2 linked regions of the Caenorhabditis elegans genome follow. The protein of the gene in region 1 purifies or fractionates together with the protein of each later gene. This does not show direct contact. Each region holds a gene or a part of one and is shown on either strand. Other genes may lie near its edges. The genes, in order: rha-1 and ddx-17.

Region 1 (3,926 bases):
TGCGGAATCGATCCACTCAGCGTTCTCGGGGCTAAAACTCCAAAACGTCCTCCTTCATGGTTATTCTTAATTATTGCTGGTGGACAAGGTGCCATGCTGCGGTTAGTGCCAAAGCCTCCACCACGTTTACATGCAGGTTTTTCTTTGTGAATTCCAACAGAAATTATATTACCTCCTCCAATGAGTTCTTCTGCTGAACCAAGTGGTGCACCACGGCCATCCACCCCTGCTTGGCCTCCGAATGAACCTAAAATTGCGATAGGGAAGTTAATAGGAACAAAAGGATAAATGGACACAGTACAAGCATAACAGATATAAACACTTACCACCAACACGGGTTCCCGAAGTTGATCCGAATGAAGTTTGAGGTGGTGGAGCATTACTGGCTTTTGGTCCGCCGAACATGCCTCCTCGGCTAATTCCCCATCCATTTGATCCTGTAAAAATAACTGTTAGGAAAGAAGTTTCTCCGATGAATCTTACCTTTATTCTCTTCATTTTGATCCATTTCCGAGCCTGATTGCACCTTTTCGGTCTGAAAGAAATTAATATATTCCGTTCCGCTGAAAAAATGCACTCGGTTTCCACGCACACATACAGGGAAGAAGCATGAAAATTGTGCGAGGTAGAAGCAAAAAGCAATTGTACAGTGCAAGAGAAAAGAGCCGAAACTCTCGGAACACGGACGGACAAACAGACAAACAATCACGAACACACATAGACATTAACAAATCCGACCACCTTTTCTGGCACTTCAAGCCCTTCCGATCGACACTGCTCGTCGAATGCAATACCCCAATCAGCCATTTTCGATCTGTTATGAGAACTACGATAATTCATTGTTAGTATTCAGGACAAATTAAAGATCGGAACACGAAATTGAAAAGAAAACATGTTGAGGCGAAATTTGGGTCGACACATGAACCCGAGAAGGGAGAGATTGCAGAAAGAAGATAGTTCTTTGGTTCATCGACAGGGTAGGAAATAGTTATTCTAGAAGTGTTTTCTCTATTTTGCCATTGATAATGCATGTAAACACATTGTTTGGTCAGGGAAGTACAAAATCTATCTTCTTTTTAGGGCATTTTTCCACAAAATATATGAAATTTAACTTTAAAATGTATTTTAAACATTTGAAGTTATAAAAATGACGCACACATGAAAGATAAATAGAATAAACAAACAAAAAATTAGGATCGACGCCAATAAAAACATCTGAAATTGAGATGAGCAATTTCGAAAATGGGTACGGTTGACAGTACACCGTACACAGTAATGCACACAATGCACCAGATCATACGACAAACATATCTTAATATTTAAATTTAGGATTTTTAACTTGCAAGTATCATGATATTCTTGCTAATTGTTATTTTTTAAAGAAAATGATCACTCACCTGTCTACTGGAATGGCTTTGAACAACGCAAAAACACCGCATGACCATCAAAAAGAGTTACGCGACAAAACTTCAGAGATAATTTACCTTTCAACGAAATTAAATCACGCCAAAGAAACATGTGTGAATCTGGATAATGAACGTCAGAAGTTTCGAGAAGTTAGCCGAAAAATCAAAGAGGTTTGTCTGTAAAACAATAATGCAAACTGAATAACTTATTTTCAGAAGGATATTGATCCAGTTTGGATATACAATGGAACGTGCTTCCTTCAAACAAGCCAAGCAAATAGTTTGAATATTTTGGAGAAAGATACGAAAACTGTCGAAGAAGTTCGTGGACAGATTCAAGAAGTTATCAAGGTAAAATAAAAATATTAATTCGATAATTGAATTGTTTTTTTACAGAAAGACATGGACACATTTCTCAAACTACACAAGAAGCGAAATCTAGAAGAACGTGGTTTCGGTTTAAAGCCATTGCTCAAAGACGGAAAATTAACTGATTAAATTATGAAATATCTGAATACGGGTCAATGAATTGATATTAAAATACTTAAATTTGTATTGTTATCCTGTTCTTGTATATCCGAGTTTAATTTCTCGTCTCTTTATTTGAACTATTCGCGACTTTTTAAATCTTGTTAAATATTATTTTTAGATGTCCAGAGACGTCAAAGAATTTCTATATGCTTGGTTAGGAAAGAATAAGTATGGAAATCCGACGTACGATACAAAAAGTGAAACCAGGAGTGGTAGGCAGAGATTCAAATGCGAACTTCGGATCACAGGATTTGGCTACACTGCTTTCGGAAATTCCACAAACAAAAAGGTTCGTGCTACTTGGGAAATCAGTTTTTATCAAAAGTTTTCAGGATGCTGCTACCAATGCTGCTCAAGATTTCTGCCAATACCTAGTCAGAGAAGGAAAAATGCAACAGAGTGATATTCCGACTCTAACGTCTTCGAGTCTTGAAGCTTCTTCCACGTGGCAAGATTCTGAAACTGCTACAATGTTTTGTGGTGGAGAAGATGGCAACTCGTTCCAAGAGTCACAGCAACCAATTCCACAAAAAAGATTTCCTTGGAGTAACAATGCATATCAACGTAACGAGGGCACACATGAACAATATATTACACAGAAAGCAGAAGAAATTGCTGCATCGGAAACTGTTGATCTAAAATCAGAAATTCATGGAGGATGGACGATGGAGAATTCAAAGAAAGCGCTGAATGAGTTTCTTCAAAAAATGAGACTTCCACAGGTTAACTATGGAACCAAAATTCGAGAATCAAACACCGTTAAGTAAGTTTTTCATATTAGAAGAATTACTTCATTTTTTTCATACCAAAATATTTACAGAACAATGGAGACGACTGCCCAAATCTTTGTTCCTCAAATCAACAAAAGTGCGTTCTTTTATCGTCTTTTATCCAAATAAAAAATGAAAATGTTTACAGATCTCGTTGGAAAAGGTACTGGATCTAACAAGAAAGTTTCTGAAGCGGCGTGTGCAATGAATATCGTTCGTCAGATGTTCCATCTCAATATTATGCAATCGTACAGTGGACCAATCAAGAAGAGTAAAGTCAGCACGGTTAGTTTTTCTGAGTTTAAGTTGTTTTGAAGTTTATTATATTAATTTTCAGCTTCCTGAAATTGCGATTTCCATTCCAGAAGATCTCTCAACTCGAGTGACAGAATATGTTCGGTCGTGCGGTCTTGAGTTGCCAGAAATCAACGAAACGAGTGCAACTCCGGAAGCTCCTACCTCACTGCTCACGGATGTTAAACTAGCGCAGTTCCCTGTTTCAGAAATTTGTTCCGCTTCGAATATCTCCTGGGCACCTCCTCTTCAGAATTGGAATCCATGGAGAGCTTCGAATATCGATGAGGAACCATTAGCTTTTGTAAGTTTTTTGATTCAAGCGAATAATTTAAAATTAAATTAAATTCAGATGTCAATGGAGCAAATTAGTCAGAGAATAATGGAAAAAGAGGATTTCAAGCGAGGTGAAGCACTTGACAAAATAACAGCTCAACGTGGAGAACTCCCTGTCGCCCAGTATCGTGAAAACATTGTACAAACCGTCGCAGAAAATCGTGTTACACTGATCAAAGGAGAAACTGGATGTGGAAAGAGTACTCAAGTTGCTCAATTTCTACTGGAAAGTTTTTTGGAAAATTCTAATGGAGCATCTTTCAATGCAGTCGTCTCTCAACCTCGTCGTATTTCTGCAATTTCACTGGCCGAACGTGTCGCCAACGAGCGAGGAGAAGAAGTTGGAGAAACATGCGGATATAATGTTCGATTCGATAGTGCAACTCCTCGGCCATATGGATCTATCATGTTTTGTACTGTTGGAGTCTTGCTGCGAATGATGGAGAACGGATTACGAGGAATTTCACATGTAATCATCGATGAAATTCACGAACGGGATGTTGACGTGAGTGTTGAAACTGCACATCAAATTAAAAATCTTTTTTTTTCAGACTGACTTTGTTCTTATTGTGCTCCGCGAAATGATTAG
Region 2 (3,926 bases), on another chromosome or scaffold:
GAAATATTTTTTGTTCGCGTCGAGACCTACACAGTGAGTCTCACCTTTGAGCCAAAAGATGCATTTCTCAAAATTAGGTAAAAAATGTTTGAAAAGTCCAAATTTCGTTTCAGTCAAAAGTTTGCAAAACTCTTATTTTACTTTGTGAACCCCAGAACACCCATTAACAACAGTTCAAAGCAGGTGAACAATTTCATATATCAAGAAAAAAGAAAAAGTATTCAACATTGTACAAAGAATCAATATTTTAGTAGGACTGAAGTTGGCGAAGTGAAATGAATAAAAGTTTTGACACGGATATGAACTAGAACAAGGTTGAAGAGAAATGCAAATTGTACAGAAAATATGAGAAGGGAAATAAATATACACTAAATTGGATGCTATGAGACGGTGCAGTTGGAATTGGAATTTCTTGTTTGATGCGGCGGTGCAACTCGATTGTATTCTTCTTGTTGTAGAGAACGAGCCAGAGCTTCATCTCCCTGGAAACATTTGTGATTTAGTTAGTTGTTTTTTTGAAAATAGATACAAACCTCTGTTCTTGCTTGTGCGGAACATGGATTCATTCGGGAACGCGCGATTGATGTGATTCTGGAAAAATACCTTGAAATTCGATTTATTCAAAACAATAAACTTACGAATCCGTCCAGCTCTTTTTCTGATTTATCTTCATTTCGCCAACTTTTCGCTCACAACTGTGATCCCGCTCGTGTCTGTGAGAAAGGCAGTAGTTGTTTCGACATTTTGAGCAATTCATGGCTACCAGCTCTTTCTTCTTGCATTTTGGGACGGTACACGCGTTTGAATATACTTTTGCACGTTTCGGAGTCTGACAATTGTTCTGAATGTGCTCATTGACCTGAAAAAGAAACAATTTTTATCAATATTTTTGCAGGAATAATTTCAAAATAATTACTTGTTGATCAACATTGACATCTTTCGGCGTTGGAACTGGCTTCTCACATATAGGACAAATAGGAACTTGAACGGACTGAAATTTAATAATTTTAATCTAAAAAAAGATTTTCAAACACTTACAATTCTTGAGCCAGTCGGACAATTATGAGCCTCAAATGTGAAGTGCTCTGAGCAGTAGAAATGTCCACAACCGGAGCATTTGATTGGAAGAAAATCTGAAATAATTATTTTTTTATTTAATTAATTTTTTTTAAATGTTGACTTACCAAGTCTGTTGCAAACTGTGCTCTCACAGTGCTTTCCGAGATTTGGGAACTCCGCCATAGCTGAATAAAGCAAACGATATTGATAGGAAACGAGAGAATATAGACTTTTAAACACAAGAAATGATGACAATTGGAAAAATTCTAGAATTTACCAGAAATGCCAGACATCGGGTTACGAAATTATTGATTTTTATATATTATTGAAAGCTTTTGGACTTTTTAGAACGAGAAAAAATTGAATAATTCAATTTCAAGATTTTTGAAATCAATATCAGCTGATTCGCTAGAAAACGTGACGCTTTCAGTATTTCGTGACGTCACTGCGTACAGCTGGATTAAAGGCGCATGACATTAAACGTGCGGTGGGTCTCACAGCGAAACCGCTTTGCACCTCCTTCTCCCGCTTTTTTTGATTTTCGTCTCTCGCATTTGTCCCAAAACCTTTCATCTTTTTCTGTTTTTTCTTTCTAAATTCGATTTTTCGAACGATTTAAAAGTTGTTTTTCCCATTATTTTTCCCCCTTCTTGCACGGTGTGACGCAAAATACTCACTTGGTTATTTTGGCCCCACTTGTGTTTTATAGGGTAAAACAACCGAATTTCGTCGAAAATTTGGGTCTCTTCAATCCGTCCGTTCTCGTTTGCTACTCGTTTTCTCAGCGCTGCGAATCAATTTAAAACTTGTAATTCGTCAGCGCGTGCTTCTGTATCAAAGGAAGACGAGCCAAACGAGAGGTCTACTAATCGAAGTCGATATTTATTTTCGCAGCAGCCGTTGCACGACCAGAAGTTCGCATTTCAAACTCATATAAAAAAGACAATGGGAGACAGAGGATAGTAAGTTGACTTATCGATTATTGACGTGCATAATTGTTTTTCTTTTTCAGCGGAGGTTCTAGAAGCTATGGAGGAAGCAGCGGTGGTGGATCCCGCGGAGGATATGGAGGTGGAGGCCGTGGTGGCGGCGGCGGAGGATACAGCGGTGGTCGTGGTGGTGGATATGGAGGAGGTGGCGGTGGAGGCTACGGAGGAGGTGGTTATGGCGGCGGTGGCCGTGGAGGAGGTCGTGGAGGATCCAATGGTTCAGCTGGAGGACGCCTTCGCGATGTCGACTGGTCTGCCGAGAACCTTACTCCGATTGAGAAGGATTTCTATCACGAGAATGCAGCCGTATCCCGCCGTGAGCAGTATGAGATTGATCAATGGGTATCAGCAAATCAAGTTACTCTCGAAGGCCGTGGTGTCCCACGCCCGGTTTTCGAATTCAACGAGGCACCATTGCCAGGACAGATTCACGAGCTTTTGTACGGAAAGTTCCAGAAACCAACAGTTATTCAGTCAATCTCCTGGCCGATTGCCATGAGCGGACGTGATATTATCTCTATCGCCAAAACTGGTTCCGGAAAAACACTTGCCTTCATGCTCCCAGCTCTCGTCCACATCACAAAACAGGCTCACCGTCAACGCGGAGAAGGACCAGCCGTTCTTGTTTTGCTTCCAACTCGTGAATTGGCTCAACAAGTTCAAGAAGTATCAATCGATTTCTGCCACTCGTTAGGACTCAAGATGACCTGTCTCTTCGGAGGAGCATCCAAAGGACCACAAGCTCGTGATCTCGAGCGTGGAGTTGATATCGTTGTTGCCACTCCGGGACGTCTTCTCGATTTCCTTGATAACGGAACTACCAACATGAAGAAGTGCTCTTACTTGGTTCTTGATGAAGCCGATCGTATGCTTGATATGGGTTTCGAACCACAAATCAAGAAAATCATCGGACAGATTCGCGTAAGTTGAATCTGTTGTAATTGTGTTTTAATATATATTTTTTCAGCCAGACAGACAAACACTCATGTTCTCCGCCACATGGCCAAAGGAAGTTCGTGCGTTGGCTTCAGATTTCCAGAAAGACGCTGCTTTCCTCAACGTCGGATCCCTTGAGCTCGCTGCCAATCACAACATCACACAAGTCGTCGATATTCTCGAAGAACATGCAAAGCAAGCCAAACTCATGGAGCTCCTCAATCATATCATGAATCAAAAGGAATGCAAAACCATTATTTTTGTTGAGACAAAGCGGAAAGCCGATGAATTGACTCGTGCTATGCGTCGCGATGGATGGCCAACTCTCTGTATTCACGGTGACAAAAACCAAGGAGAAAGAGACTGGGTTCTTCAAGGTTAGTTAAAGTTACCAATTATTTTGTTATAAATACATTTTTCAGAATTCAAAGCAGGAAAAACACCAATCATGTTGGCCACCGATGTTGCCGCGCGTGGATTGGGTTAGTTTGTCGCGCCAACCTAGAAAGGGTCAAATTTTAGATGTCACATATTAGAAAAGTCGGTTTCAGGAGTTTCTGGCTTCCAGTTTTCTTGACAATCGTTACAATAGCATGGTATTCAGCCATATTTGTGATTTATTTGACCCTTTACAGTTACACCAACTTGATTTGGCCGAGAGGATTGATCGAAATGCAATGCAGTTGATTTTGGCAGCGTCTTGTGACGTTATCATATCATACGTTGCAGATGTGTAGTGGCAGAGAGTACCTTCTGGTGCTCTGTGAATGAAATCTACACATCGAGTCGAAGAAAGCGGTTCAGTTTCGCAAGCCGCCAGTATTGCAGTCATATACATTGAGTGCTGTTGTGGCTTGTGCAGGCTGTTCCGATGACTCATCAGTGACTCCGTCGAATTTTTCTCCTCTTCCCCATTCCCATCTTTAGAATTCTGGGTTCAGG

The links.
Region 2: the proteins of rha-1 (region 1) and ddx-17 fractionate together in Caenorhabditis elegans (co-fractionation; one large-scale study listed by BioGRID). This does not show direct contact.

Annotation. Positions count from the first base shown.
Region 1 is NC_003280.10:8,881,789-8,885,714, reverse strand, and holds the start of rha-1 (ATP-dependent RNA helicase A), read left to right. Parts: upstream 1-2,055; coding exon 2,056-2,226; intron 2,227-2,269; coding exon 2,270-2,700; intron 2,701-2,757; coding exon 2,758-2,804; intron 2,805-2,855; coding exon 2,856-2,992; intron 2,993-3,044; coding exon 3,045-3,305; intron 3,306-3,353; coding exon 3,354-3,842; intron 3,843-3,888; coding exon 3,889-3,926. Other genes in the region: ddx-19 (RNA helicase), read right to left, coding at 1-247, 327-437, 484-535, 742-807; T07D4.5 (P53 and DNA damage-regulated protein 1), read left to right, coding at 1,386-1,577, 1,623-1,757, 1,803-1,904.
Region 2 is NC_003283.11:14,009,895-14,013,820, reverse strand, and holds the start of ddx-17 (RNA helicase), read left to right. Parts: upstream 1-1,879; 5' UTR 1,880-2,004; coding exon 2,005-2,021; intron 2,022-2,071; coding exon 2,072-2,969; intron 2,970-3,015; coding exon 3,016-3,361; intron 3,362-3,406; coding exon 3,407-3,466; intron 3,467-3,619; exon of another isoform or gene 3,620-3,925; intron 3,926-3,926. Other genes in the region: aip-1 (AN1-type domain-containing protein), read right to left, coding at 381-482, 534-591, 639-859, 917-991, 1,039-1,133, 1,185-1,242.